Linked DNA regions of Callithrix jacchus. The protein of the gene in region 2 purifies or fractionates together with the protein of the main gene of each other region. This does not show direct contact. Links are inferred from orthologs where the notes say so. Each region holds a gene or a part of one and is shown on either strand. Other genes may lie near its edges.

Region 1 (5,437 bases), on a different chromosome or scaffold from region 2:
AGGAGACTCACTTGAACCTAGAGTGGTGGAGGTGAAGTATTTGGATTGAGTATAAAATTAGCACCAAGACAAAAGTATGCCAAATTGCAGGGTCTTTATTGCCAGCGACCACAGAGGACTCACATCTCTCCAATCCGTGGCCCCAAAAGGAGGGTGACAAGACCCTTTTATGCCCATAAACCACCTCCGGGGTGAGCGTGTGGGGCGGGGTGGGGGTGAAGGGATTCAGACATTCTGAAGGCCAGGGGATTCCGTAAATCACCTCCCTGGCAGAGAGGAGGGTGCAGGTCTCTGGACATTCCAAGGGCTAGGGTTTACACATCGTCTGGGCAGTGGTGGAATCCACAGATCTTAGTTACCTATTACAAGTCACAGGAGCCAGGATGGAATTAACTTGGGCTGCTTATTCTGGTCATTACCGGTAAGCAAAGGCCAGCAATTCTGGCTGTCAGTGATAAGAAAAGGTAAGCAGGTAATGGAGACCATCCTGGTCAACATTAGCTGGGCATGGTGGCGCGTGCCTGTAACCAGCTACTCAGGAGGCTGAGGCAGGAGAATTGCCTGAACCCAGGAGGCGGAGGTTGCAGTGAGCCGAGATTGCGTCATTGCACTCCAGCCTGGGTAACAAGAGCGAAACTCCATCTCAAAAAAAAAAAAAAGAAAGAAAAGGTAAGCAGTTTTATTTACAGAAGCCAAGGTTAGCAGTCATTGTGAGGAGAATGGGGCAGCCGTTACAACTTATTTTTGAAAAACAGCTTTGTCTTTTCTAAAATGGTGTTGCTCAGGTTCCAGCTATAGCACAGAGGTTGCAGTGAGCTGAGATCATGCCATGGCACTCCAGTCTGGGTGACAAGAGTGAGACTCCATATCAAAAAACAAGAACACCAACAACAATCCGGTTTACTAACATGGAAAAATGTGTAAGATTTAACACTAAAAGGGGCGAGGGTTGCATCTATAAGGTTTATATGCATATATATGAAGAGAAGAAGAAATTCGAATTTAAAACTGTATCCTCTGGCTGGGAACAGTGGCTCATGCCTATAATTCCAGCACTTTGGGAGGCCCAGGCTGGCAGATCACCTTAGGTCGGGAGTTCGAGACCAGCCTGGCCAATATGACAAAACCCCATCTCTACTAAAAATACAAAAATTAGCTGGGTGTAGTGGTGAGAGCCTGTAGTCCCAGCTACTCAGGAGGCTGAGGCAGGAGAATCGTTTGTACCTGGGAGGTGGAGGTTGCAGTGAACTGAGATCTTGCCACTGCACTCACCTGGGGGACAGAGTGAGACTCCTTCTCAAAAAGAAAAGTTATGAAGCCGGGAGCAGTGGTTCATGCCTGTAATCCCAGCACTTTGGGAGGCTGAGGCTGTTGGATTACCTGAGGTCAGGAGTTCGAGACCAGTCTGACTGACATGGTGAAACCCCATCTCTACTAAAAATAAAAAAAAATTAGCTGGGCATGGTGGCACACGCCTGTAGTCCCAGCTACTCGGGAGGCTGAGGTCAGAGAATTGCTTGAACCCCGGAGGCAGAGGTTGCAGTGAGCGGAGATAAGACCAATACACTCCAGCCTAGGCGACAGAGCGAGACTCCGTCTCATTGAAAAAAAAAAATTGTGCACTCTATTGTATATCACAGCCCAATAAAATAGTAAAGAGGTCGAAGCTGTCTAAGCGGGCGCTGCGGTGGAGTAGCGGTCAAGACCGCCTGCGAGCGGTTCACCTGATTCACCCCCAAAACCGGCTTCCAGCCGCGTTCCCGACCCCAAAGCACCCCTTCCGCGCGGCTTGCGGTTGGGGCGCCTGTAGGGGACACCCGAGCCTTCGTAGGGGGATGTTGCAAGCCCGCGCAAGGGCCCCCGGCTCCCAGGCACTCGCCACCTTCCGACACCCTGGGGAAGGCCCTGCACGTCCCGACCCTTCCCTCCCAGCAGCCCGCCGAGCCACTACACTCGACAGCGGCAGCGCTGACGTCACCGCCCCGCCTCCCCGCCTCGCGCGGCTGTTCCCGCCCCGCCCCCTTTCCCGACGTGCGCCGCGGCTAAAGCTCCTCGCCCTCCGCTTCTGCCTGTCGCCCCAAGATGGCGGACACAATGAGCCGGCTACGCGCTAGTTGCCCCTGAGGTGGCTGTGAGGACCAAAGATCGGCGAGGCTCCACAGTCCAGGCAGAAGACTGTTGTCCAAGCAGGAGGAAGGGGAGGAGGCGGCCCAACTGTCGGCCGACTTCCCGCTAGCCGCCGGCGCGGCGCCGGCCCCGCCTGGTTGGCCCCTCGGCAGCCCGCCCGCTCGCCGCCGGGCCCCGCCCCGGCCCTGCGCCGCCGCTGCCTTCCCCTGCCGCCGCCATGAAGCTGACCGACAGCGTGCTGCGGAGCTTCCGCGTCGCTAAGGTGTTCCGCGAAAACTCGGACAAGATTAACTGCTTCGATTTCAGCCCCAACGGCGAGACGGTCATCTCGAGCAGCGACGACGACTCCATCGTGCTCTATGACTGCCAGGAGGGCAAGTGAGTGAGGCGGAGGCCCTGGGCCCGGGTCTCAGTCCCTCCCTCCCTCCCTCCGGTGGCCCAGCACTGGTCCCTCTGCCCGCCCTCCGTCTCGACTTCAGTCCCCGGTCTATTTTGCACGCGTTCCTGCCAGGGCCACCTTCACCCCGCAGCCGTCCAGGAGACCTTTTATTTTTTCTTCTGAAAAAAAAAAAAAAAATTGTGATAGTCATAATAATGGCATTATTATTTGTATGTCTAAGGTCTCCTTAAAGCGCTATGCATCGCTTGCCAAGCCCCACCTTGACCTTGACCTTTAAACGCCCGGTCTGCCCACCCCGGGCCCAGCAGGTAGCGTTTTCAGCTCCTCAGGTTCTCTAAGGTGCTGGTCGTCTCCGTCCTCGTCGCAGGACTGCAGGGGCGGCTCTCCTGACTCCTTCGGCAGCTCTCTCTTCTGCCCTCTCCGCTGTGACCTCGATTCCTCCCTGGCACTCCGCCCATCCCCTGCCCCTCAGCTTCTTGCGACCTTTCTGCCGTCAGGCCGCGTGGGTTGCAGTTCTTAGCTGTCAGGATTTATTTGTTGTGCCTCTTTGAGCCCCCTTGCATTTTCTTCCTGTTCCTAGGCTCTCTCTTACTCCGTCAGAATCGGTGCCCACGTTCTTAAGTGAACTTCTCAGCAGCATCTAAAACTTCCTTTTTGCCACATACAAACAAACTTGGTCGTCCCATCCTGACCTGAATGTGAGCTTCCGTTAAAACAAAGCAAGCATCGTAGAACATTTTTGGGTTTCCTTTCATCCTTTTTTAAAAATTATTATTAAATATGTTGGTCCACTTTGAATTCCAATTCTGACCATGACATTTCTATGTTGCCGCAAGTCATCTGGAGACCCACCACACCTGCATCTTTTCACAAAACCTAAGCACGGCACTTTGCCTTTTTCCCTGGGGGGTCCCTGGCAGCCCCCTCACCGCACGCCTGTGGACTTGCAGCTCCTTGGAGCCAAAACTAGCTTAGATTAAATTCGTTTTACCCTCAGCCCCCTTCCCCATGAAGGCTTGCTGATGTTTGGTTTAAATCGGTGGCCCCTGGTTTTGTCAGACTTGATTTTGTTACTTAGTAACACATCTTGTTTTTTTGAGATCTTGGGTTTTTTTCTACCTTCTCCAGCTGTTTCTTTTGCTTTTTTTTTTTTTCCCCCCCTGGTGTCTTTTGGAACGTGTCTTTTCATTTGTGAATTTGATTATCTGAGGTAACACTAGTTTGGACTGAGCTATAGTGGTATCCCCCCCCCACCCCCAGTTTTTTCCCACTGGGGCTGTGAAAAAGTGTTATGTAACTGGCTCTGGATCTGCTTGCAGTATGTGGCAGGGTGGTCTTGAGGAGGGAATTGTTAGCTGGGCAAATAGTTTGAGTCAGTGTTACTCATTTAGTAGATAGATTTCTGTCCTGGTCTGGTCACTTGAATCAGTTTAGAAGAGGAAGTAACATTTAAAGGTATGGTAGTAGCTGGAGTTGTGGAGTCCTGGAGTAGTAATTTGAAGCTGGCTTGCATGAAACGTTTAGTGCTTATGCACAGATTAGGACCTCTTCCCAGAATATGAGGATGGAGATCATATATCCTCATTTAAAGAAAATGAAGGTTGTGATAGCATTTCTTTGCAGTTTGTCCCCAAATTTGGCATAATTTCTCTTTGGGAAGTATAACCTTGACATGAGTCTGGTCTGGTTTTTTTTTGAGACAGTCTCCCTCTGTCGCCCAGGCTGGAGTGCAGTGGCATGATCTTGGCTTACTGAAACTATCGCCTACTGGATTCAAGCGATTCTCCTGCCTCAGCCTCCTGAATAGCTGGGATTACAGGTGTCCGCCACCATGGCCTGCTAATTTTTGTGTTTTTAGTAGAGATGGGTTTCACCTCATTGGCCAGGCTGGTCTTGAACTCCTGACCTCAGGTGATCCACCCTCCTCAGCCTTCCAAAGTGCTGGGATTACAGGCATGAGCCACTGTACCTGGCCAAGTCCTGTCTTGTTAAGAGTAAAATGCCAATTTTGTGACATCAGGCAGTTTATTCACTCATGTAGCATTTTTATGTAATTACAAACATAGAAATTTGCAAGTGTTTCAGAGAACTGCCATATGATTCAATAACTGGTTACATTTTCTGCATTTGCTTCATTACTGCATGTAAATATTTATATATACTGTGTGCCTCCCCCCAACCCTTTTTTTTTTTTTTTTTTTTTTGAGACGGAGGTTTGCTCTTTTTACCCAGGTTGGAGTGCAATGGCGCAATCTCGGCTCACCACAACCTCCGACTCCTGGGTTCAGGCAATTCTCCTGCCTCCTGAGTAGCTGCGATTACAGGCATGCGCCACCGTGCCCAGCTAATTTTTTGTATTTTTAGTAGAGACGGGGTTTCACCATGTTGACCAGGATGGTCTCGATCTCTTGACCTCGTGATCCACCCCCCTCGGCCTCCCAAAGTGCTGGGATTACAGGCGTGAGCCACCGCTCCTGGCCCCCAACCCTTAGAGTTGGAAATATCAAACCCCTTTATCCCTAAACACTTCGACATGGATTTTCTTTCCTTTTTATTTTTTCCTGAGACGGAGTCTCACTCTGTCACCCAGGCTGGAGTGCAGTGGCACAATCTTGGCTCACTGCAACCTCCACCTCCCAGGTTCAAGCAATTCTTCTGCCTCAGCCTCCTGAGTAGCTGGGATTATAGCACACCCAGCTAATTTTTGTGTTTTTAGTATAGAGAGAGGGTTTCACCATGTTGGTCAGGTTGGTCTCGAACTCCTGACCTCATGATCCGCCTGCCTCTGCCTCTGAAAGTGCTGGGATTACAGGCATGAGCCACTGCACCCAGCTCAACATGGATTTTCTAAGCACAAAGACATTCTTATATAACCAGAGCACAATTGTCCAAATTAGGAAATTTAGTATT
Region 2 (5,338 bases):
TTGGGTTGAGCGGGTAGTGGCTGGTGACTGAATGGTGGATAGCTGATTGACTGGTAGACAACAGAAGGCTGTGGTCAGGCCCTACCATGCACTTCCTGACTCCCTTAAACCCCGCAGGAATGGCTCACTTGGCTGCCAGCTTCATGCCACAGTCATCTGAGCAATACTTGGAGCTGGGCTGGGCGGGGCGCACACAGCCAGGCCCCAGGCACTGAGGCAGCGACGCAGGGTCCTTGGCATCGTTCCTCTCTGGGTGTTTCCATTTATCCTTGTGCTTCTGCTTCTGCCGATGCCGCTTGTACCGCTCCTCCTTCTGTGGAGCAAGACAGGTCAGGTCAGGGTGGTCAAAGTCAGCCCCAGACCCCGGTCTCCTGCTCCATTCCAGCCCTTTCTGGCTCTTGCCCCATTAAGCCTCTGAGCTCTGCCTCTCCCTCATCCCCACCCTCTGCCTTTCCACATCCATTTTACCCTCTCCGTCACCTTCTTCTCAGATTTCTTCTCCCGACGCTTCACATGCTTCACTTTCACTGCCCTCTTCCGAAGCGCGGGGTCCAGGAATGGGGACTCTTCTGTGTCGCTCATCCAGGGCTGCAAGCAGGGCATGCACTGACCCACCTGCCCCCCTCATGACAACCCCACCACCTACTCATGTCCCAAATCAGCCTTCCATACCCTCTGTCTCCTCATTAGAGATACTCTCTGCTTCTGTCACCTCCACCCTTCCACCAGGGGATGCGCCTGTCTGCTCACCAGGCCATGGTCATCAAAGGCCCCTGCACAGAAATCCTGATACAGGTCAGGATCCAGAGGTAGGTCCTCATCTGAGAGTGGCTCAGGCGTGGCTGTAGCCTCAGGAGGCTCCTTGACTGCTGATGACGCCACTGCCCCCTCATCTTCACGGATGCGCCCTAACTTCTGTGACGGCTGTGGCTGCTGTTGGGTGGGCAGTGGCCGACGGGGCCTTGGCAGGGACTCTGAGGGCGTCACTGGCGAGAGCTGCAGGGCAGAATCTCAGGACTGGCCCTGACCGCCCTGCCCACATGCCCCGCCCTGCCCTGGGGGGCTGGACTCACCGAGGAAGGGAAGTACTTGTACGATTCCTGTGCCGGCAGGAGGAAGGCCCAGGTCAGCCCCAGGTGGATGGAGTGTGGCCTTGTCCTAGCCCCACCCACCTGGCCTGGCCTTGCCTCCCTAGACATACCTCCCCGCTATCCCTCATTACCAGGACATGCTCAGCCCTGCCTGATCCTCACTGACATGCATGACCAACTGGAAACACCTGGCCCCACTCTGTCCACCCAGGGTTAGTGGGGTTTCTGCCAGCCCAGCATACCTTGTCATGCCCCATTCATCTGGACATGACAGGCCTCTTTCCACCTATCTAGTCAGGCACAATCCCACCTGGCCCATGCCTAGACTTAACTAACCCTGCATGGACCCACCAGCTCTCCCACACCTGACCCTACCCAGCTCTGTCCATGCTCACCCGGGCCCGCAGCTGGCACTGGCGCAGCCGGCATTTCTGCCGGATCTTGTTGGGGCCTCCAAACTTTTTCATGTCCCGACAGAAATCACAGTGACCACAGTCCTCAGTGCGCCGACATGCCTCGCACTCACCACACATGCGGGCTGACCGTTTGATCTGCTGCTGCTGCTGCTGCTGCTGCTGGAGGAGGGGGCCCAGAGAAGAAATCACCGACCCAGGCAGGGCCAACATGGAACCACTTTACACATCCACGCACTTTATACAGCCACTCACCTGGCTGGGTGTGGCCACCAAGGGCTGCGGAGAGGATTTGTGGGGTGAAGCAGAGCCCCGAGCAAGCATGGCCCCAACCCCTGTCCCTGACCCTGCCCGACGCTGCAGGTCTGGATCCGGGACAGGCCTCTTGCGCCCTCCACCCTCATCCCGGGGCTCGCTGCCATCCCGCTCATTGCCATCCCGCTCCCGTGACTTCTTGTGCCGATAGCGAATCTCTAGCTTGGGGTCCTTCTCTGTGGGGCAGAGAGTAGGGATAAGGTGAGCATGGAGGGCATGAATGGTTCCAAAACCTCTTTATTCCCCTTTTCTCCCTTACTGTCCCACTTACCTATTCACCTCTGTACACGACAGAGCTGCCCCTTCCCGTGGGGTCTTCTATTACCACTCACAATGCAGCCCCCATTCCAGCTCACCACAGACATGTATTACTACTCCCCATTATCCCCCACTGTGGCTCCCCCACCGCCTCTGAAGCCCCTCCTGACTTCCTTGTCCATGCATGGCCCTCACCTCGGCACTCCCGACAGTACCACTCCCGGATGGCCTTGGCCATCTTCTCAGTGATCCGGATGCAGTCCCCATGGAACCACTCATTGCAGTTGTCACACCCGCTGCAGAGGATGGGACAGGTGGTGAATATGTAAGGGGCACAGCCAATGGACCTTACCCCACCCTGCCAGTGTCAGTCCCGCCCACCTCTCCCGGGCTCACATCATGAAGCAGTTGATGTCCGGTTTGCGACAGATGCAGTAAATGGGCGCATTCTCCCCATTCTCCGACTTGCTGTCCTCCCCAGCATCTGGAGGCTCTGGGTCTGAACCATCACCCTCCTGCGGGACACCCCCATTACGGCTCTTTAAACAGCCCCCACCGTGGCGGCTCATCCCAGCATTACAGCTCCATCATGGTCAGCACGGATCCCCACTCTGCCTGCAGATTTCCCATCGGGGCCCCCAAAAAACCTCTCCATCACAGTCCCCACTGACTCCCATCCCTTCCCCTGACATCCCATTACTCGGCTTCATACTTCCCATCACACACCCACAGGCACCCGCTCCCTCTGTCTACACTCACTGGCGGGTCATCGAGACCCAACATCGTGGCGCCTCACAGACCCCGCCTAACTCACTCCTTGAACTTCCCATCACGGTTCTCCACGCATCCCTCCCTGTTTACTTCACAGACCCTCCCGGCACCCGCACCCCCAGTCTCAGCTGTCTACGGATCCCCGGCCAGGGACTCTTCCTCAGCACGGCTCACCACAGACCGCCCAAAGTGATTCCTCACAACCCCCTTATCCCTCTGCCCAAAGAACCCCCAATCATGGTTTCCCACGGAACTACCGGGTACCCGGAGTCCCCACTAAACTTCTATTACGGACCCCCACCGTGGCTCACCATAGAATTCCCAGATGGCTCATCATTCTGCCCATAGACTCCCGCCGTTCTGTCCAGACTCCGGTTATCGCTCACCACAGACCCCCTAGTCGGCCGACAGACCCCGAGGTTGCCAACCCCACTGACCTCCGCCGCCGAATCCCTCACTAGACGCGGTACTCACCATATCTCCGCTCCCGGCGCACTCCTTCAGGACCCCGGCCGCGACCCGCGAACCTACACAGACCCCCTCAGCGGCGTTCCAGGCGGTTGCAAAGGCGCCCACAACTACTTCCGCTTCTGGTCACGCCTCCCAGGCAGCGTACTCCTGTTGCGCAGGCCCCGTGAGTCGTCTCCGCCGCAAACCATTAGGCGCCGCCATCTTGATTACGTATCCGTATGGTGGCCGGATCCATACCATCGCCGGGAACATGGCTGCGCTCAATCCTGGCTTTCGCGATGGGGCCGCCACCTTGTCAATAGAGTCCGTACGGTGGCTGCTGGTACTGTCTCGACGTACAGGTAACATGGCTGCATCTACTGCGTGACTTCCTCACAGATGCCGTCATCTTGGAATCTGATTCCGTACGTGGGTCGAATTAGTACGGTCCTAGAAGACACATGGCGGCGACCTAATTGCGGATTCCACAAGGGCGCCGCCATCTTGATGGTTGATTACGTACACTGGCCGCTTGTCAGAGAGATTCACAGGTAAAGCTGCCGCTCCCGAAACACTACCTGGATCAAGTCTTATTCATTCCTCCATTCAGTCTCTTTCTCTATCCACATGCGTTAATGGGGCGTCGACAGGCTATATACCTTCCGCGGTGGAGGAAACCAGTTCTTCTGTCGTCTCCGACTTCACCTGCCACCACTCTTTCCGGATCTCACTCCTCCCACTTGTCATTCTTCTGCCAGGCCTGGCACGGTTCAGCTTCTATTTATTTTATTTTTATTTAAAAACAGTTCTAAAACTAACATCAAATCTTATTTTAGTTCTATAAGCTGCACAATAAGCCTAAGCACAGTTTACTTACCCATTTCTTTGTTGCTTAGCATTTAGAACATTTTCAAATGTTATTGTAAATAAAGTTGCAATGAACATTCTTAAACATAGATCGGTATGCTCATTCCTGATTATCTCTTGTGAAATATGATATACAAAACGATGTCACTCTGGTTAAGAGCTGTAAAATGGAGCCTGGAAGCCATTCTAAGGACTCCCCGCAAACTTGCAAAAAGGAAAACAAACCAAAACTAAAACACAACAGGAATTTGCCTCGAACCTTTGAATTGGTCCAAACTACAACGACCACACGGTCCTGGAAACCAGCTATATTTCACCAGTGCTGCGTCTCCTGAACAAAACCAATGAACTATAGACTCATGCTGGCCAGCTGCCTCCAGCAATAATAATTCCTTTAAAAGAATTTGTGTAATCATCCTTAATTTCCTTTTTATTTTTCTTTAAAACTCCTACTCCCATTTCTCTCTTTGGAGCACAATCTGACTTTGAGCTGAATCTGGGTCTCCTGAATTGCAGTTCCTATGCCCCAATAAACTCCTGCCTTGCAGCTTGGTCTGTTGCCTCTTCTTAGTTGACACTCCTGAGAGATAACATTCTAAAAGTAGAATTACTTTATAATTGACTATAAATATTATAAGACATGTTAAAATTTGTCGGAGGTCATTGGTTTGGACAGTGCTCCTGCAGGAGGCCCCACCAAAAATGGAGTCACCCACACTAAACTTTCATGCCACCAAGTCAAAACTAATTTGTTTATCTGACCTTCCAAGAAATAAGTAGAAAGATACAGAATAATAGCTAAATCCCCAAATGAGCCACTTTAGCTTGACAATCCCCTCTGCTTTAACCCTTTTTTAAAACGTAACCTGAAGCAACCTGATGTTAACCAGCTTTTTAAAAAAAAATTGTTCTTTTTCCTTGCTCCCACCTTACAAAATTCACTGTTCTGCTATTTCCCAGGGGAAGCTCTCATTCTATTTTGTATAATGGGATCTGCCCCAATTAATGAAGTGCAAGTAAAAGCCATTACATCTATAACTAAATTTGTTGTAATTTTGTTTCTTGATTGTTGGGGTCCGGCATGTCTGCCAGGGGGCTACCGACCTGTGGGAGTCTCCAAGACCACCAACGTAGATGTCTCGTTCAACCTGAGGGATAGAGTGCATGGAAGTG
Region 3 (4,073 bases), on a different chromosome or scaffold from region 2:
TCAGCTTTTCAGGAGGCTGAGGCAGGATGATTGTTTGAGCCAGGAGGTTGAGGCTGCAGTGAGCCATCACCGTTTCATTGTACTCCAGCCTGGGCAACAGAGTGAAACTATTTCAAAATTAAAAAGAAAATAAATTAAAAAATTAATAGATTTAAAAGTGTTATTGTTAGGTCAGAGGGTTATGAACATTTAAGGTTAATACATACATTGCTAAATTGATTACCAAAAGGTAAGCAGTTTATGTTCTGACAGTACATAGGAATAGTCATGTGCCATTGTCAATTCTTACTTTAAAGGTAGAAATGAGACGAAATGGAGAAGGCGTTGTATCCCTTGGATATACTTGTTTAGAAAAGAACTGAGTTTTTTCAGAGTACATGGAGGTGAGCTCATTTCAGTGTTAGCATTATGTAAGCTGTGACCCTTCCCATTTTCAGCATTGAGACAGCAGGAAGCCAGTCAGGAAATGAGATAGTGTAAAGTTTGGTCATGCATTTTTTGCCACAAAGGGGACTAGGTATTTATAGGGTGTGGTTCTGAGTTTCCGCTCTGATTGGTAAACTCTTTTTTTATTACCCAGCCTGAAGAAAATTCGTGGCAAAGTGTGGAAGCAAAGAATATCTAGCCCTCTGTTCAACACCAAACAATACACAATGGAACTAGAGCGGCTCTATCTACAGATGTGGGAGCATTATGCAGCTGGCAACAAACCTGACCACATGATTAAGCCTGTTGAAGTCACTGAGTCAGCGTAAAGAAAGACTGCACAGGAGAATTACCCCTATACCTGAGCCTCAGCCTTCTGGGGGAAAGGGAACTAGATAACATACTTCTTACTTGTCTGTACAGTACCTTGTTGCAGATGGGTGATATATAATGGTAATAGAATAGCACAGCCAGACTTGCTTCCTGCATGATAGGGAGAGACACAAGAGATAAGAGATGGGAAACTGCTGTTGTTCCACAAGGAATCTCCGTAGAATTTTGCAGCAACCAGATGATGCATAGGTCTGGAAAGTCTGATCTCCCTTGGTCTTCCATGGGATGGTTAGTGTGGAGGGGAGATATAGATTATCCAGCCGCTTTGCAATTCCATGGATTGATTCAATCTTCTGGATGAATTTTTTTCTTTATATTTTGGGTATTGGAACTTTTAAAAATGTTTGGTTTCAGGTATTTTTATTCATGTGAAGTGTATATGATTCTCTTGAGATAAGGTTTTAAGCTAAAATATTACTCCCTGTTTTAGTTTCTGAACTCTGACAGATCGACAGGGACTTTGCTGGTGTAGTCTTTTTATAGGTTTTATAAACCACTTGAGCCTATATCAGTCGTTTTAGTGTCTGACCTAATGTTTGGAGCTATCAGTGCTTTGTTGATTTAGATGATGACTCAAGATATTTTCTGGTCCATTTCCCATTTCCTTCTCTTCCCTGACCCCCACACCCCTACCCTTAAAATTTCTCCTGTAACTCAGCTAACAAAATCAAGTCTGATTCAAAACATCCTAGGGTGTTTCTCTTAAACACACCATCTGGTGCCAAATGAAGACTTTTAGGAGTGATTACTAATTATGAAGGTTACAGTTCTGGTACTGTCATTGATAATAATATAGATTTTTTTTTTTTGACTAATTTTGACCTATTTCACCAGTGTTTTACCCTTGACTGCCCCTTCTATGCTGCTTCCAAAAGTGATAGTGTGTGTTAAGATTTTTACCTTCCTTTCTAAATTTTTTTTTTAAGTGAGTCCTGTTCTTCCTATTTCTTTCAGCAGAAATGAAATCCCAGGTAAGTATAAGTATTCAAATCAGTAAGTCACAATTATCTCTGGTGCATTAAATAACTTTCATCAAGAAACAGGTTATAGGTAAAATCTCTGAAGGACCATCTGTGTATTCAAGTAACTATTTTTTAGAACTTGTAGGGTATTCTATAATAACTGTCTTCTGGACTTGGTCTTGAAGTCTGTACAGATTCAGCCTCAATAGTAGCAAACTGCACTGGTACTTGGTTTGGAGTACAAATTAGACTTACAGTCCTCCTGGAACTTGAGTTTTTGACATTAAAATCATAGGAATAATATTATGGGATCTTAACAAAGGGTTAAGGGTTTGAGGTTTAAACAGGCCAACATATGAATATATGTTTTGTTTTGCTGTTCTGCACTTATGCTATCCAGTCGCAGATAATTTTTTGTCTGCTAGTAGTACTCTAGATTATGTCTTTCCAAAGTGCTGAAGCTGTGCACCTATTCTGTAGTTGCAGCTGATGCCTGAATGTATCCTAGCTGACAAATTATTGATTAGTAAGAACTTGAATTTCTGAAAGATTCTTACTGTTAACCAAATTTTGAGCAAGGAGTCTTGAAGGTAATTCTGAACCAGAATTACATGTTAATAAACAATGTACCTTTTAACAATGTAAATCGCAGAATATCAGTGAAGGGATTTCTTAATTTATTTTTTACCTGATGATTGAAATATCAAAGGTTGCCAGCATGGTTGCAGATAAACTAATGTTTGAAATTCACCGAATTACTTAATGTGGAATAATAGGATAATATACTTCCAGTGCCCTCAAGGCTGTGACTTTACGGCCATTTTACATAGCACATCATTCCTCCTATAGGGATGAACTTTTTCCTGGCACGAAAAGTAACCGCTCTGGTTGAAGCTTTGCTTATTGTAACAGGCTTTTATTTCCAGGTAACATGTCTGTGGAAGACTTAATTCTGATTAGAGATATAGATATTACTGGAAACTAATTGTTTTTTTTCCTATTGTACTCTGCTTTATCAAAGAAGTAAAACATTTAAATCGCGCTACAGAAATTAAGATGTTGTCTTGCGATCCTTGAACAATAAATGAATGATTTCCCCTTAATATGGCTGATGTATTTTGTCTCCTGTTATATTGAGTGTTACCGAAGAATAGGGTCATCCAGTGATGAAACCTGTATTTGAACAGCTCCCAACAGTATTAAAGGACCAAATTTCCCTTCTTTAGCTATGATATTAGGAATTGTTTTCTCAGCCAGGTCTGGTGGAGGGTAGGGTTAGTTTATGATCCATTAAGAAGACAAAGCAGCCGGGTATGGTGGCTCACACCTGTAACCCCAGTACTTTGGGAGGCCATGGCAGGTGGATCACTTGAGGTCAGGAGTTCAAGATCAGCCTGGCTAACATGGTGAAACCCCATCTCTACCGAAAATACAAAAAATTAGCCGGGCATGGTGGCGCATACTTGTAATTCTAGCTACTCAGGAGGCTGAGACAGGAGAACCGCTTGAAACCCGGGAGGTGAAGGTTGCAGTGAGCCGACATTGTGCCACTGCACTCCAGCCTAGGCAACAGAGTGAGACTTCATCTCAAAAAAGGAAAAGAGAAAGGCTGTGATCACCAACGCACCCATTCATGCTTGTTCCTCTTTTGCTTATGACCTCTCTGCTTTTATTTATACTTGTTGTTTCAGTCTTCATGTGGACCATTCTTTTCTTGGCTCTTTGGGGGCAAAATTATTTTCCTTCTTGCTGTGTATAGTGGTCAAACTCTGCCACGAGCGTGAAGAAGGAAGATACCAGTGCATGAGGGGTCAGAACACACTGTTTGCCAGTTTTCTCAGAGATATAAGTGAGAGGGACAATGTTTTTCGGTAGCATTTTGCATAATTCCCAACTTCTGTTGGTTGTACCCTTAAAGCCCTAATGTGGATTGGTGTTTGTTTCCTAAAAGATTACTATGGGAAGAAAGGTGTCCAGTAGCCTACTCAAAAGTTTTTACTCCTATCCGCTTCTGTTGAAGAATCTGCATTATTTCCAGTCTACTTTAGCTCCTCCTGCCTTCAGTCTAAAGGAGTTGCTTGCACACCTGGAGTAAATGTGTGTAATTTCTGAACTGCCCGTTTTAAGATTTGATTCTAATCCTAACTCACTCTTACTTGACCAATATGCCTCTCAATTATAGCTAACATTTTGGTTCTTTGCCCAAACCTCTGAGGTACATTATGTAATCCCTATTTTTATAAAGAGGCTTGTAGAGGTTAATTTGCAACTTTATTGTAAAGAGAGTAATAA
Region 4 (4,639 bases), on a different chromosome or scaffold from region 2:
CTCCTTGCCATGCTTCTCTTCTCCTTCTGCACAAACAGCGCTTGGATGGCCTTGCTCTGCAGAGGGTATTTGGACTGATAACCCATTGTGCCCCTCCTCAGTGCTCATGGCCATCACAGGACCCAGTTCTTTGCCTCCCCTGACTGGCCCAGGACACTGGCAGTTATTCTCAGCAATTAGGCTGGGCATGGGGACCTTGTGCTTGCTCACTTTTGTGGCTGATGGGTCACCATTTCCTTCTGGGTTGCCTGCAGTTGGCTGATTCTCTTCATGTCTGTTGATGCTGGCAGAAATTGGCACACATTCTGCTGTGCTGGTGGAGATGATGGCAGCGTCACTCAAGTCTTCCACTCTTGTGATGGTGAGCCGATCCTCATCCTGGAGGACAGCACCAATCATGACTGCTTCACGCCCTTCAGAGGTGCTTGTGGAAATCATGGCAGTGTCACCCATCTCTTCTGCTGGTGTGACTGAGGGGTGGCCTCCCTCCTGAGGGACAGCACTGGACACTGGGCCCTCACAGTCTTCCACTGAGCTCGTAGAGATGATAGCACTCCCGTCTTTTTCTTCCATGACTGTACCAGCTCGCTCACTTTCACTTTCAACAACCACACTGGAAACAGAATCCTCACACTCTTCTGCTATGCTAGTGGAAATGAGAGCACATTCATCCTTTTCCTCTTTGCTGGTGGAGGCAAGAGGACTTTCAGCTTCTGGGGGTGCACTGGGCATAGGCCCGTCAAAGTCGGCGGTGCTTATCAAGACTGGACCTGTAGTCCTTTCTTCCATTGCGGCAGCAACTGGCTGCAGACTTCCAGCACACTTCATGGTTGTTGCACTGGAGATAGGCACTTCGAACTCTTCCCCTATGCTTGTGGAAATCATAGCACACTCATCTTTCTCTTCTTTTCTGCTGGCAGTGAGCTGGCTGTCATCTTCTGAGACTGCACTGGGCATGGGGGCCTCAAATTCTTCTGTGCTTTCTCTGGTACCTTCCATATTTTCTTCAGTTCTCAGAGCAGTTGAGTGACCTCCTTCTACATCTATAATGGTGCTTATGTGAGGGGTGTAATCATTTGTGGTACTGGTGGAAATCATTAAGCCTTTGCCTTGACTTTTACCCCCAGCTAGGCTATTTTGGTTGGTAATATCATCACTGGCCGTAGTCGCCATGAGGCCAACACATTCTTCATTTTCTACAGAGGTGATGATGCCCTCATCTTCTTTTTCGCTTGGTGAAGTGTGGGCAACTTCACATTCTGGAACTTCACCAGATACAAGAACGTCATAACTACCCCCCACCAGGCCAGTGGAAATAGTGATATCTTCAACTTTTTCAAGCTGACTGGCACTCTGATCAGAAGCAGCACTAGTCATAGGTCCCTCACAACCTCCTGGAATTGGTGTCACTTCATCCTTTCCAGAGATTGCACTGGTCACACTGCTTTCCACAATGCCTTTTGCACTGGAGCAGATATCTGTGTCTTTACTTTCTTTCTCTGCACCACTCATGCTGTCAACATTATTTTCATTTGCATTCATGATGGCAGCTCCAGCCTCAGCTTCCACATGCTCTACCACAGTACCAATCTGACTGTCCCCTTCTGCACTTTCACAAACCAATACTCCTTCACTTTCTTCTATCCCTGTGCAAGTTGAAGCATGCCCAATTTCATTTCCTCTTCCAGTACTAGTCACAACACCCTCCCCTTCCTCATCTTCCTCTTTTGCACCTGTGCTAGTCACAATGCCTTCATCATCACAAGGACCAGCAGCAACTAATGGTACATTAGTGCATTCTTTGGCTACTGTGCTGTCCATTGCAATCTCTCCATTTTCTTCTGATTCAGAACTCATAGCAAAGCCTTCGCTGCTATCTTCTGAACCTGTGCAACTTGCTGGCCCTTCTCCGTCTTCTGTTATCCCTGTGCTGGTGACTGCACTCTCACCTTCTGTACCATCATTCACAGAACCATCTCCTTCTTGGCTGGCGCTTGTTCCTGGTGGTGCATCGTTATCTACCAGGACAACACCTGCACCTGTAACCATGTGTTCCTCCCGGGACTCTGCTCCTGTTACTGAGCAGATCACAAAGTTATCACTTCTGCCTTCTGCTCCTGTACATGTCACAGTGCCCTCTGTTTCTTTTTTGGGACCCATTCTCATATTTCCCCGGGAGCCATCCACCTCTTCACTGCTTATAGATCCGGCTCTTATTTCTGTCCCAGCACTTGTAACTGCTCCATCACTTTCAACCTCACTAATAAATGTAATAGTTCCTTCAACTATTTCTGAGTCTCTACTTGAAGAACCATCACATTTTTCTTCAGAGCCTGCACTGGTTACAGCATCATCCTTTTCCTCTGTCACAACACTATTTATATTGGCTTCGATTTTAATTGCATGAACAGCTAGTAGGTCTGCTGCTCTGTCCTCAGACTCAGCCACAGCACACTCCCCACTATCTCCTTCCTTAGTGCTTGTGAGGAAGGTTTCACTTTCAGCAAATCCTTCTGTGACAATAGCCCCACCTTCTTCGGCTGCAGCAAAAACAGTGCACTCACTGGCTTCCGCACCAACACGAGGAGGATTATTTCTGGAATGTATTCCTATTATGAGGCCTTCGTCTGCCTCAATGCTGGTGCAGGGCAAAGCCACCTCACTCTCTCTTATTTCCGAAGAAGTGGTTGTGGCAGCCCCAGCCTTCACTGGACTTAAGGTGACATCTTTGTCCTTCCCTTCTGTACTAGTGGCAACGGAAGTCTTTCCTGCTCTCCCAGGTCCAGTTGCCACATCCTCAGTTTGTCCATTCCTTTGCTGTAAAACAAAGGGTGCAGAGCCACTTCCAGCACTGGTGTCTACCTCACTGTTCTCATTACTTCTTTCAACATCAATTGATATGTCTTTTACTTTGCCTAGGCCTCTTTTATGCTTAAGTTGGACAGTTTCAGTGTATTTTTCTGTACTTATGCCTACAGCATGATCAATAGTAATGCTATCCTTCTTGTCATTCTCTACTGTTGCTTTAACTGTCTGCTTTAAGTTGGGCTCTGCATTTAAGTCACTTTCTTTCTTGGCTACGTCTACTAAGCCACCTTCTTTGGTAACATTCTCATTTTCCACAATCATGCCCATTAACTTGCTTCCAAGAGGCATGATTATCTTTCCTTGTCTGCCATCCAATAAAGTAGCCTGGTGACCTTCTGGAATGTGTCTTTTGCTAGAGATGCTTGCTTTTGCTGGTGTATCTACTGTGAAACTGTCACCACCTTCTTTGCTGTCACTTGTCTTAAGGACTTCTGATTCCTTAACAGTCAGACTTTGAATAGGGAGAGCAGAGTGATCCACAGGGGAGGTGCTGGCTGTGCCACCTTCAAAAACAGTTCTTTTGTCAAAGAGAGGAATTACATCAGGATCACAAGATTCTCTCAGAGGCACAACAGTCACTGAACTTAAGGATGGAGAGGAGTCTAAATTTGTGGAATGTTCAAGAACAACATCTCCTTGAGCAACATGTTCTTCAGTGGGTTTGGCTGCATTTTTCAAATTATTCTGTACCCTATCATTTTCTGATGGGACACTTGGTAACGTTCTGTGAACAGTTTCAGAATCTATATTCACGTCATTAGTTCCTCTATGAATGGGTTCTTTCTCTCCAGGGTTCAGTTTGGACACAGCACTCTGGAAATGCATTTTCTTGGTCAGGGTACTTCTGTGGTCAACATGCTTTTCAGAATTACTGTTAACTCCTGTTCCACGGCCTGACTTACAAGCTGGAGCTGTTGTTTTTGAATCTGCTGTGAAAGTTCTTAATTCATCCTTTAAAACTGTGGCAACCGTTTTTTGTTTCATATTTTCAGAGTCAATGTCTTGCTGAGAATTATTATTGCTATTGTCTGGGGTTTTAGATACTTCAGACACATTTTCAATGCCTGGCTCAGAATCAATTTCCATTGGCTCTTGTTCAGGGATCAATGTTGTATCACCACTCTTTTTTGGTCTCTGAAGGGAAGAACTGCTGGGAGTGCTCAAAGTATTTGCTGCTAATTTTTCTTCTCCTTTGGTCATTTCTTGTGATAAGCTTCCCCTCTTTTCACAAAACCTTTTACTTAATTTCTTTTCCATGACTGAACTGTTACCTCTGGCCTTTTCATGATTACTGTCAACTTCTTTACCATCCTTGTCATCTGATTTATTTTCTTCCTTCTTTTTTATGTCTTTACTACTATGTTTCAAGCTTCTGCTTTTGTGGCCATCTGACAACTTTCTCTCAAGCCTAGTGGAAGTGGAGTCTTTATCACTCTTATATTTCTCCTTTGCTAACGGTAACCTGGCTCTGTGACTAGAATCTTTCTGTGTACTATGTGCTGAAGAAGAAGCAGTCTCTAACACAGGTTCAACACCAGTTTCTTCAAAAGGTTTGTCTTCAACTTTAGACTTTCGCTGTTTTTCTGAGTCATTCTCTTCTGTGTTCTTCTCCTTGTCTGGTTTTGGAGTGGTTGACTGTTTTGTGACACCTTCTTGTAATTCTGTTTCTATAACTTTTAACTGTTTGCCTTGACTTTTTGATTTAGACTTCAACATAAGTTTCTCCTCTAACAAGCTCTTCGTTCGTCGTTTCTCCTTGTGAACAACCTCT
Region 5 (4,639 bases), on a different chromosome or scaffold from region 2:
CTGGGAGGAGGAGGAGGAGATGGGGCTGCCCTCCATCTGCAGCTCAGTGTCTGAGTCGTGCACCGGCAGGAAGAGGAGTTTGGTGCGCTGCTCCTTCAGCAGCATCTCGATGCGTGAGTCCAGGCTGTCGTGGGGCTTCTCTGGCCCCGCAGGGGACGACTCCAGCGTGGGCGTGCCGGGGCTGTCACAGGGCTCAGGACTCCAGCCGAAGGTGGGCCGGCCGCCTAGTTCCATGCTGTTGGTGTCGGGGGGCGGCGGGCCAGGGGGCGTGCCTGGCTTCTCCTTGGCCAGAGGCTCAGCAGGTGGCAGGGGTGGGGGTGCTGGTGCCCTCCGGAACTCCCCACCGTCACGGGCCCCGAAGGCAGGGGTGGTGGTCGGCTCTTCTGCGGGTGGAGGGAAGTGGGCCACTGGGGTCTGATATGGAGAGAAAGCAGACTTGAATCCAGGAGCTGGGGTTGCTTGGGCGGGCGGTGGAGTGTGGGCAAATGTGGACGAATCCTGTGGTTGGGCCTTGAAGGGGGGGCCGCTGCTGCCCCCAGTGCCGCTGACTGCTCCAAATGGGAGGTCTGAGGAACCCCGGAAGGCGGCTGTGGCCCCAGCCACTGCAGTGACCGCGGGAGAGGTGTGGACATAATGATGTTCGTGGCGGCGGTTGTAGGCGTCCGTGAACTTGCTATCGTGGCGCCGGGCCTTGAAGGTCACTGTAGGGTCCTGGCTGAAGAGGTACGAGGGTGTGGGCTGGCGGCTGGAGTAGCTGGAGTCCTGTGAGAAGGGGGTGCCCAGGCGCGGCGTGAGCGGGGTGCCCTGTCCGTAGGAGTTGGGTGTGTCCAGGCGGCAGCTGGAGTAAGCCGTGTCCTGGGAAAACGGTGTCCCACCGCTATTGGGGGTGACAGAGGAGGAGCCGGAGCCACAGCCTGCAGACAGGCCTCCATCCTTGAGGCGCTTCAGGGCATCTGACAGCTAAGGAGAGAAAGAGAGGTGAGATCCCTTTCTCTTGGGGGGTGGGGCGGTGTGATTTCCCTTCTCACTCTGGCTGCATAAGGAATGGGAGTGGGGGATTGAGGAGCAATGTCAGGATGGTACTAACTTTTTTTCTAATCTTAGGGGTAACCAATTATGTTCAGGGAAACTTGAAGGTTTTTCCAAATTTCCCAGAGGAGCTAGAGAAGAGAGAAGACTATGACATCTTGGTTTAGGCTGGGATTTTCATTGCCTCTGGCTGTCAGAAATCAGACCTTCCAGGCAGGATTATGCCCAAGAACTATCTTGTGCCTGAGAGGATGGCCAAGGGCTTTGTTCTCCCAGCCGCCCAATGTTTTAGGATTTAAAGTGACAAACGGGTCAGGGCCAGGTGCGGTGGCTCACGCCTGTAATCCCAGCACTTTGGGAGTCCAAGGTGGGTGGATCGCTTGAGGTAAGGAGTTCAAGACCAACCTAGCCAACATGGTGAAGCCCCATCTCTACTAGAAATACAAAAATCAGCCACGTGTGGTGGCGTGTGCCTGTAATCCCAGCTACTCAGGAGGCTGAGGCATGAGAATCACTTGAGCCCAGGAGGCAGAGGTTGTAGTGAGCCGAGATCATGCCACTGCATTCTAGCCTGGGGACAGGGTGAGACTCTCTCAAAATAAAAAAATAAAAATAAAGTGATGAACAGGCCAGCGGCAGCTAAAGGCTCTTCAGTCCCGAGGTGACTGGATTGATGCCCAATGCCAGGGAGGAGCTGGCATGAGACTCGCCCCACACAAGAGTTGTCCCAAGTCCTGGGAGGCAGTGGTTTGGAAGGAGGCAGTCTTCCTCTGGAAGGTGGGGCATGAACTCCAGTTTCTGGGTTCGGGATAGTGGTGTACCCAGGACACGAGATACTAAGGACCCTGGAAGCAGCAATGTTTTGGCATCAACATGGAAAAGCGAGCCCGGGCAGGCTCTGGGTCTGTGGGAGTTGAAGCCTGTGCTGGGGACAGGGGAATGCCACAGGAAACAGGACCAATCCCAGGGAGCCCCACTGCAGAAAGGCTTGGGGGGCGTGGCCAGGCTTCACAACCTCCTAGGCCTTGGTCTCCAAAGCTGCAGAGAGAGAGGTGGGGTGGGCTGGAGGGGTCCCATCAGAGTTGGTGAGGCTTTCCAGAGGTGGGGGGCACATCAGAGCACTGGCAATGGGGCAGACTGACGGCCATAAACCCACCTGCAGGGTCTCATTCACAATTGGAGAGACAGCATCCAGCTCGCCCACTGGGAGGGTCTGCGGGGTGTAACGGCCAGTGACCAACAGTTCATAGAACCGCATTCGGGTTTCCCCTGTGGATGGGCAGGAAAGGGGTGACTCAGTGAGGTTCCAGGACGGGGCAGCCCCCACAGGGATTCCAACCTGCATGGCACCCTGGTGGGTCCCTTGGGCCTGAGACCCCAGGCCTGGCGAGGCTGTGTGACCCTGACCGAGTTCCCGCCCCCTCTGGAACTTACTCAGGGTCGCCACCTGTTCAACAAAGCTGCTGATCTACACCATTTTTCTGATCCTGAGATCCAGAAGCTAATGCCTCCTGGGGCTGAGACTCCTCTCAACTCAAACCCAAAATTGCTACCTGTGACACCAACCCCCACTCCATTACCTGGGCCATGGTGCCCAAAGAAAGAGCCAGGCCTATCCCCTTTCTGCTCAACAGCCAAGGGCTTGCAACAAGAGGACGGGAAGCCTGTGGCACAGAAGCCAGAGTTTGTAAATATCTGGGGCCAGGTGAGCAGTGGACTTTGCAATACACTCTAGGAGCACATTACCGTGAACGCCACAGCCCCTGACCAGGCTGAGGGCCTCAAGGCGGCCAGGGGCCTACCCTGAGCTCCAACCCTCCACCCCTCAGCAGACAGAGGCTTTTCTAGACCGGGCCCGGGGGTTATCGATATTTATAGAGTCTCAGAGGCAGCTGCTTACATATGCAAAAAAGACCCGTTCCTGGAGCTACACTTTACTGGTCTCTTTCTTGAAATACAAACTTAGCTAGCAGTCTCTGAGGGCTTTTGTGTTTTCTTTTTTTTCCCCAGAAATGAAATTTTGTTGAGACCTGGCTGCTGCTTAAAATGTGGGCCTGTGATGGGGGAGGGGGTGCCACATTCAATTCAGTTATGAGAGAAATCAGACTGCAGCCACCCAAGGTCCTCACTGCCCCCCATCCCCCAGAGACTGAGAGGCTGTGCCCTGAGAGGAGACACAGGACCAGGCACAGGCTCGGTGAGTGTGGGTGAAATAATCACCACCACCCCCGGCACCAGCTTAGAGTTTGGTCAATACATTTTAATCATTAAACGCAAAAAAAAAGAAAAGTTCTGATTTTCTTGCTTTGGGTTTGGCGTGTCCCGGTTGTCCCTGAACCCCCCCCACCCCTCACGAAATTCCTGGAAGCTGCACTTTTCCCCTCTCGGCATGGCTTCCCAAGGGACACTGGTGGGCTAGGGACCCAGTGTCTCCCCACAGGGCTGGCCCATCCTCAGATCACTTGAACCTTCTTTTACTGGTGGGAGCTTCCCTAGAGAGGCATCAGGCACACTTTGGGGAATGCCCTGGAGTCCTGCAAGCCCCATCGGTCCTGCAGGGGCCTCTGCAGACCCATAGGATGGGAGGTGTGGCCTCCCCAGCCAGCACCAGAGAGCACCCAGCTGATTCCAGTGCAGGGGAGGTGCTGCGGTCTCTTTAAGAGAGAGGAGGGAAGACACAGTGTCAACCCTGGAGCACCCTGAGCCTCCCGCCCCTCTCTTCCCAGCTCAATCAGGAACCTTATCAATGAAACAACACTCCCGGCCCCAGATTGGCTCCCACTTCCAAGGGGAAGGGGCAGCAAGGGAGGGAGGGGGACACCCTGAATCCTTAGAGGACTCTTTCTAGTTTCCAGACCTTCTCTTGACCCATTTAAAGGCATTCTAGTGGCACTCCCTCAGTCCCCCACAAGTAAACAAACTCTGCCTCCTCCCCTAACACAGGCAACACTGGGACTGTCTAAACCCAGGCCACCAGGGCTCAGAGAGGGGGCCCACCGGGGTGTCAGCGGTGGGGAAGCCTCCGGGTGGTCCCTAGGGGTGCGGTGGCCAAGGACCGGCACATTTGGTAAATTACAGACCGTCTCCTAGCAACAGACAACATATTTAGTTCCACTACTTTACCCTCAGGAGGGGGGGCAAGAAAATAAACAAGGTTTTCGGGGGAATCCCAAGGAAGAGTGGGGGGGGGGTCCTCCCCACCCTGCAGAAGTGGGCGGGGAGGTAAAGGGTCCAGCTGACAGGTATCCCCTCACTCCTCCCCTGCCGGGCTCACCTTTGGTGTCCAGCTCCACGTGGATAATGTTGCCCATGACGGAAGTGCTGTGCAAGTGCTGAACGGCCTCCTTGGCACCCCGGACGGTGGCAAAGACCACCTTGGCAATGCCGAGGTGCTTCTTGGTCTTGGGGTTGTACAAAATCTCCACCTCCTCCACCTCCCCATACTTCTTGCACATATCCCTTAGGAAGTTTTCTCGGATGTTGTCATTCAGCTTGGCAAATGTCACCTGCTTAGGAGGCACCGGGCCCACGTAGAACTCATCGATCTGGCAGGGGCCGAGGGGGAAGGGAGTTTGGAGAAGATTTAAACCGAAGAGAAAACCCAACATTC
Region 6 (4,639 bases), on a different chromosome or scaffold from region 2:
CAGTAGGAACTGGCTTCTGGGGCCTCACCCCATGGACCTGAGCATGGCAGGAGAACAGTTCTCAGAGAAAGACCGTGGAAGTCATATTGAGTGGGCAGATGCCCCCAAAAGTTGTCTCCTAAATGAAAAGGGTGGGCAGGTTTCCTTTGGGACAGTTGCAGAGGGAAGTGTATGTGCAACAGCTGCACTGGGAGGGGACTGGTCTCCTTTGGGGCAGGCTTCCCAAGGACATGTGGGCTGGATTGCAAGGTGATATGTGGGGGGCACTGCCCCAGCATGGTAGGGAGGAAGATGAGAGGAGGCCCGGGTGTATTTGGGTCCTTGCTAGCTTCCTGGAGTGGGTTGCTGCCACAGACTGAGACCCCAGCGGGTGTTCAGAGCCTAAGGAGCCGCTGAGGGCCTGGCTCAGGTCGCCAGGGTGGGGAGTGCAGTGGACTCAGGCGGATTGCTGCCCCTAGGGCCAGACCTGGTGCCAGCGGCCCTGTTGGCACTGAGTGGGGGAGCCAGCTGTAAAGCCACTGAGTCTGGGCTACAGTTCACAGCATAAGCTAAACTCACATGGCCTGGGGGCAGAGCTCCTTCTGTCATCTGGTAACTGTAACCTCATCTTAGTGCCTCAGATTCCCTGTCTGTAAGATAGGAACCTTTGACAGGCACAGTGGCTCACACCTGTAATCCCAACACTTTGGGAGGCAGAGGCAGGTGGATCATGAGGTCAAGAGATGGAGGTCATCCTAGCCAACATGGTGAAACCGTCTCTACTAAAAATGCAAATATTAGCCGGGTGTGGTGGCTGTGCCTGTAGTCCCAGCTACTCAGGAGGCTGAGGCAGGAGAATTGCTTGAACCTGGGAGGCAGAGATTGCAGTGAGCCAAGATTACACCATTGCACTCCAGCCTGGGCCACAGAGCAAGACTCCATCTTAAAAAAAAAAAAAGATAAGAACCTCTTTGGGCTCTTGTGAGAATTACATGAGTTACTCTACGTAAGAGGTGTGATTGCTGTTAGGCACAAAAATCCATTGGGCTGACTCTGAAAGGCTCATTCAGGCTTTCCCAGGGATGGGGGTCCAGGGAGGATGGACTCCCTGTCCTGGGGGTGGCTGGGGAGGCAGTACCCCCAGCTCAGAGCCAGTGTGTCCCCTCCCCAGCCACCTGCATCCTGTGATCTCTGCTCCAGCCTCGATTCTCTAGCAGGACTGTCTCCTGCCCCTCCCCACAGGGCAGGTCCCAGTTCTGTAGGGGAGGGGGAGGAAGGCAAGTTACATAAAATATTTTAATACAAAGATGCTGCTTTTTAGGTTGTGTTGTGTTCACTTTGCTAAACTGAGAATGTTGTTTATGGTGGAGATAATGGATATTTTAGCTGAAATGTGACTGACTGGATCCTTGGCATGGGACATGGCTGGGGACTGGGTGCAGGGCTCTTCTGCCAGTTTGGGTAGGAAAGTGGAGTCCATGGCTTGTGTTGTGTTGGCATCCCCCATTGGGCTGTGGCTCCAGAAGACATAGAAGGTGTCTGTCTGCTCCAAGCATCCCCTTCGCGTGTCGTGGTGGGAATGAGCTGGTGGGAAACCCCCTCCCATCAAGGGAGTCCATCTGGCCAAGATGGAATGCTGAGCACCATCCATTGGGCTGAGGCCGTGGTGTCTGTGTACCCCTCGAAGTTCCTGGGCAGAAGCCAGGGAGAACGCACAGCCTGTGGTCATGGGTGGCCAGGGCAGCTGAGCCTAGATCTCCCTGACCTCCCTTTCCTGTGTGCTTCCTTCCCAGGCCCTGCTGAGGAGCAGCCCCCCAGTGTGCCCCCGCCTCCCCTAGAGCCACCTGCTGGGCCCCTAGCCCCTGCCCCACGCACTGAGGAGCGCCCCTCTTCTCCCATTCCCCTTCTGCCCCCACCTAAGAAACGCCGGAAAACTGTCTCCTTCTCTGCCACCGAGGTGATGCCAGCTCCAGAGCCCCCTGTAGCCACGCTGCCGCAGGCCAAGTCTCCCGGCCCAGTCTCTCGCAAGGCCCCCCGGGGCATGGAGCGGACCATCCGCAATCTGCCCCTGGACCACGCGTCTCTGGTTAAGAGTTGGCCTGAGGAGGTGTCTCGTGGAGGCCGGAGCCGGGCTGGAGGCCGAGGCCGCACCACTGAGGAAGAAGAGGCTGAGCCAGGGACAGAGGTAGACCTGGCAGTACTGGCTGACCTGGCCCTGACTCCCTCCCGGCGTGGGCTGCCTGCCCTGCCTGCCGTTGATGACTCGGAGGCCACAGAGACGTTGGACGAGGCTGAGCGCCCCGGGCCCCTGCTCAGCCACATCCTCCTGGAGCACAACTATGCCCTGGCTGTCAAACCCACGCCCCCAGCACCAGCTCCACGGCCCCCGGAGCCAGTGCCCGCACCCGCCGCCCTCTTCAGTTCCCCAGCCGATGAGGTCCTGGAGGCCCCTGAGGTGGTGGTGGCTGAGGCGGAGGAGCCCAAGCCCCAGCAACTGCAGCAGCAGCGGGAGGAGGGCGAGGAGGAGGAGGAAGAGGAGGAGGAGGGAGAAGATGAGGAGGAGTCCTCCGAGAGCAGCAGCAGCAGCGACGGGGAGGGCGCCCTCCGGAGGCGCAGCCTCCGCTCCCACACCCGGCGCCACCGCCCTCCACCTCTGCCCCCGCCACCACCACCCCGCGCCTACGAACCTCGCAGCGAGTTTGAACAGATGACCATCCTGTATGACATTTGGAACTCGGGCCTGGACTCAGAGGACATGAGCTACCTGCGGCTTACGTACGAGCGGCTGCTGCAGCAGACAAGCGGGGCTGACTGGCTCAATGACACCCACTGGGTCCATCACACGAATATCCTGAGCATGGGCGCCAGGGCGGGTGGCCTTCCTTGGGCCTTGTGGGCATGGGTCCTTCTCCGACCCCTCCTGGTGCCTCTTTTCTGCCTCCCAGAGCATTTCTGGCAGGAACCATGGGGCTGGAGCTTCCTCCCCTCTCCCTCACCTGGGTGTGCTCAACGGTGTGGGCCCCACCTCTCCTCAGGCTGGGATGCTTGTGGCCAGAGAGGAGACAGTCTCTTCCTTAACACCTCGCACTCACCAACCTAACCACCCCAAAACGCAAGCGGCGGCCCCAGGACGGGCCCCGGGAGCACCAGACAGGCTCAGCCCGCAGCGAAGGCTACTACCCCATCAGCAAGAAGGAGAAGGACAAGTACCTGGACGTGTGCCCAGTCTCGGCCCGGCAGCTGGAGGGCGTGGACACTCAGGTGGGCCCAACCTTGCCCCAGCCCCACCATCACGTGCTGCATCCTCCTCCAGCGCTTCTCCCACCACTCAGCCTCCCTGCCCTGCTCACCTCCTCCCTGGCTGTTCTCACAGGGGACGAACCGCGTGCTGTCCGAGCGCCGATCTGAGCAGCGGAGGCTGCTGAGCGCCATCGGTACCTCTGCCATCATGGACAGTGACCTGCTAAAGCTCAACCAGCTCAAGGTGAGGCCCAGTGGCAGTAGGGGCGGGTTGCAGTAGGACAGGAAGGGGCAGAGGCCAGGGGACTGCTCAGCAGGCTTGTGTGGTCCCTGTGGGTGCTGAGGGGGTAGTGAGCGGCCAGAACACTCTCTGCCTGGGAGTTCTGTGGGAAGAGAAAGGGGCTGAGGTGTAGGAGGTGTCCGGCAGTTGAGTCTCCTTTCTGTCCCCCAGTTCCGGAAGAAGAAGCTCCGATTTGGCAGGAGCCGCATCCACGAGTGGGGTCTGTTTGCCATGGAACCCATTGCTGCTGATGAGATGGTCATCGAATACGTGGGTCAGAACATCCGTCAGGTGAGGCTGAACTCCCAGCCCCGCCCCAACTCCTGATGCAGCAAGACAGCACCAGATCGCATACACATGCCATTTGTCCTGGCTAAAGCCTCGCACACCCCCTAGCCCCGAGACCTAACCAGTGAGACCAGCCTCCCTCCGGTGCAGTCAGGAGGTGCCAGTGTTCCAGCACGAGGCACAGCTGATGGCACTTCTCCCTTTCAAGGGCCTGGGAAGGGGGAGGACAGGCATTGAACAAGTATCCACACAAAAGGACAGTGTTCCAGCCTGGGCAACATGGCCAGACCCCATGTCCTCAGAAAATGCAAAAGCTAGCTGGGCGTGATGGTGCATCCCTGTGGTCCCAGCTACCTGGGAGGCTGAGGTGAGGGGATTGCTTGAGCTCAGGAGGTGGAGGCTGCAGTGAGCCAAGATTGCACCACTGCACTCCAGCCTGGGCCACAGGGTGAGACTGTCTCTAGAAAAAACAAATGCCTAAGGGATGGCATTTGGTATTAAAGAGATCTGGGGAAGTGGGGCTATGGGAGCACACACCTGGGGGCCTAAGACCTCCCTGAGACCGTGGTGCTTGAGCAAAGCTGAAAGGAGCTCGCAGGTCCAGGTAAGGGGCGGTGTTCGTGCCTGGGTGCAGGATACCATGTGCACAGGCCTGGAGGCAGGGTTGTCTTGCAAAGGCATGGAGGTCAGCTGGGCTCATAAGAAACCAGGGCCAGTGGCAGTGACGTGTGCCTGGAGGGGAGAGGGAGCCCAGACCGTGTGGGCTTGGGAGCCTTCTGCAGAAGAGCGTCTTTCTGCAGAAGAGGGGCCTGCAGTTAATGAGCTCCCTGTCTAGGCTGACACCAGCATCCA

The links.
Region 1: the proteins of CXXC1 (region 2) and WDR82 purify together in Homo sapiens (affinity purification with western blotting; 7 studies listed by BioGRID and IntAct, with this or other methods). This does not show direct contact. The link is inferred for Callithrix jacchus from reciprocal best matches to the Homo sapiens genes CXXC1 and WDR82.
Region 3: the proteins of CXXC1 (region 2) and OGT purify together in Homo sapiens (affinity purification with mass spectrometry; 3 studies listed by BioGRID and IntAct, with this or other methods). This does not show direct contact. The link is inferred for Callithrix jacchus from reciprocal best matches to the Homo sapiens genes CXXC1 and OGT.
Region 4: the proteins of CXXC1 (region 2) and BOD1L1 purify together in Homo sapiens (affinity purification with mass spectrometry; 5 studies listed by BioGRID and IntAct, counting the BioPlex papers as one, with this or other methods). This does not show direct contact. The link is inferred for Callithrix jacchus from reciprocal best matches to the Homo sapiens genes CXXC1 and BOD1L1.
Region 5: the proteins of CXXC1 (region 2) and SETD1B purify together in Homo sapiens (affinity purification with mass spectrometry; 11 studies listed by BioGRID and IntAct, counting the BioPlex papers as one, with this or other methods). This does not show direct contact. The link is inferred for Callithrix jacchus from reciprocal best matches to the Homo sapiens genes CXXC1 and SETD1B.
Region 6: the proteins of CXXC1 (region 2) and SETD1A purify together in Homo sapiens (affinity purification with western blotting; 16 studies listed by BioGRID and IntAct, counting the BioPlex papers as one, with this or other methods). This does not show direct contact. The link is inferred for Callithrix jacchus from reciprocal best matches to the Homo sapiens genes CXXC1 and SETD1A.

Annotation. Positions count from the first base shown.
Region 1 is NC_133516.1:34,801,487-34,806,923, reverse strand, and holds the start of WDR82 (WD repeat-containing protein 82), read left to right. Parts: upstream 1-2,054; 5' UTR 2,055-2,344; coding exon 2,345-2,505; intron 2,506-5,437. UniProt on the Homo sapiens protein: Regulatory component of the SET1/COMPASS complex implicated in the tethering of this complex to transcriptional start sites of active genes.
Region 2 is NC_133514.1:93,469,613-93,474,950, forward strand, and holds the start of CXXC1 (CXXC-type zinc finger protein 1), read right to left. Parts: upstream 3,435-5,338; 5' UTR 3,326-3,434; coding exon 3,323-3,325; intron 2,593-3,322; coding exon 2,474-2,592; intron 2,374-2,473; coding exon 2,273-2,373; intron 1,996-2,272; coding exon 1,760-1,995; intron 1,667-1,759; coding exon 1,487-1,666; intron 1,101-1,486; coding exon 1,074-1,100; intron 997-1,073; coding exon 751-996; intron 589-750; coding exon 469-588; intron 314-468; coding exon 129-313; intron 1-128. UniProt on the Homo sapiens protein: Transcriptional activator that exhibits a unique DNA binding specificity for CpG unmethylated motifs with a preference for CpGG.
Region 3 is NC_133524.1:68,862,971-68,867,043, forward strand, and holds the end of OGT (UDP-N-acetylglucosamine--peptide N-acetylglucosaminyltransferase 110 kDa subunit), read left to right. Parts: intron 1-580; coding exon 581-755; 3' UTR 756-2,884; downstream 2,885-4,073. UniProt on the Homo sapiens protein: Catalyzes the transfer of a single N-acetylglucosamine from UDP-GlcNAc to a serine or threonine residue in cytoplasmic and nuclear proteins resulting in their modification with a beta-linked N-acetylglucosamine (O-GlcNAc).
Region 4 is NC_133504.1:180,293,778-180,298,416, reverse strand, and holds part of BOD1L1 (biorientation of chromosomes in cell division protein 1-like 1), read right to left. Parts: coding exon 1-4,639. UniProt on the Homo sapiens protein: Component of the fork protection machinery required to protect stalled/damaged replication forks from uncontrolled DNA2-dependent resection.
Region 5 is NC_133510.1:125,007,877-125,012,515, reverse strand, and holds part of SETD1B (histone-lysine N-methyltransferase SETD1B), read right to left. Parts: intron 4,575-4,639; coding exon 4,304-4,574; intron 2,299-4,303; coding exon 2,186-2,298; intron 961-2,185; coding exon 1-960. UniProt on the Homo sapiens protein: Histone methyltransferase that catalyzes methyl group transfer from S-adenosyl-L-methionine to the epsilon-amino group of 'Lys-4' of histone H3 (H3K4) via a non-processive mechanism.
Region 6 is NC_133513.1:30,506,857-30,511,495, forward strand, and holds part of SETD1A (histone-lysine N-methyltransferase SETD1A), read left to right. Parts: intron 1-1,772; coding exon 1,773-2,825; intron 2,826-3,067; coding exon 3,068-3,240; intron 3,241-3,352; coding exon 3,353-3,463; intron 3,464-3,670; coding exon 3,671-3,790; intron 3,791-4,639. UniProt on the Homo sapiens protein: Histone methyltransferase that catalyzes methyl group transfer from S-adenosyl-L-methionine to the epsilon-amino group of 'Lys-4' of histone H3 (H3K4) via a non-processive mechanism.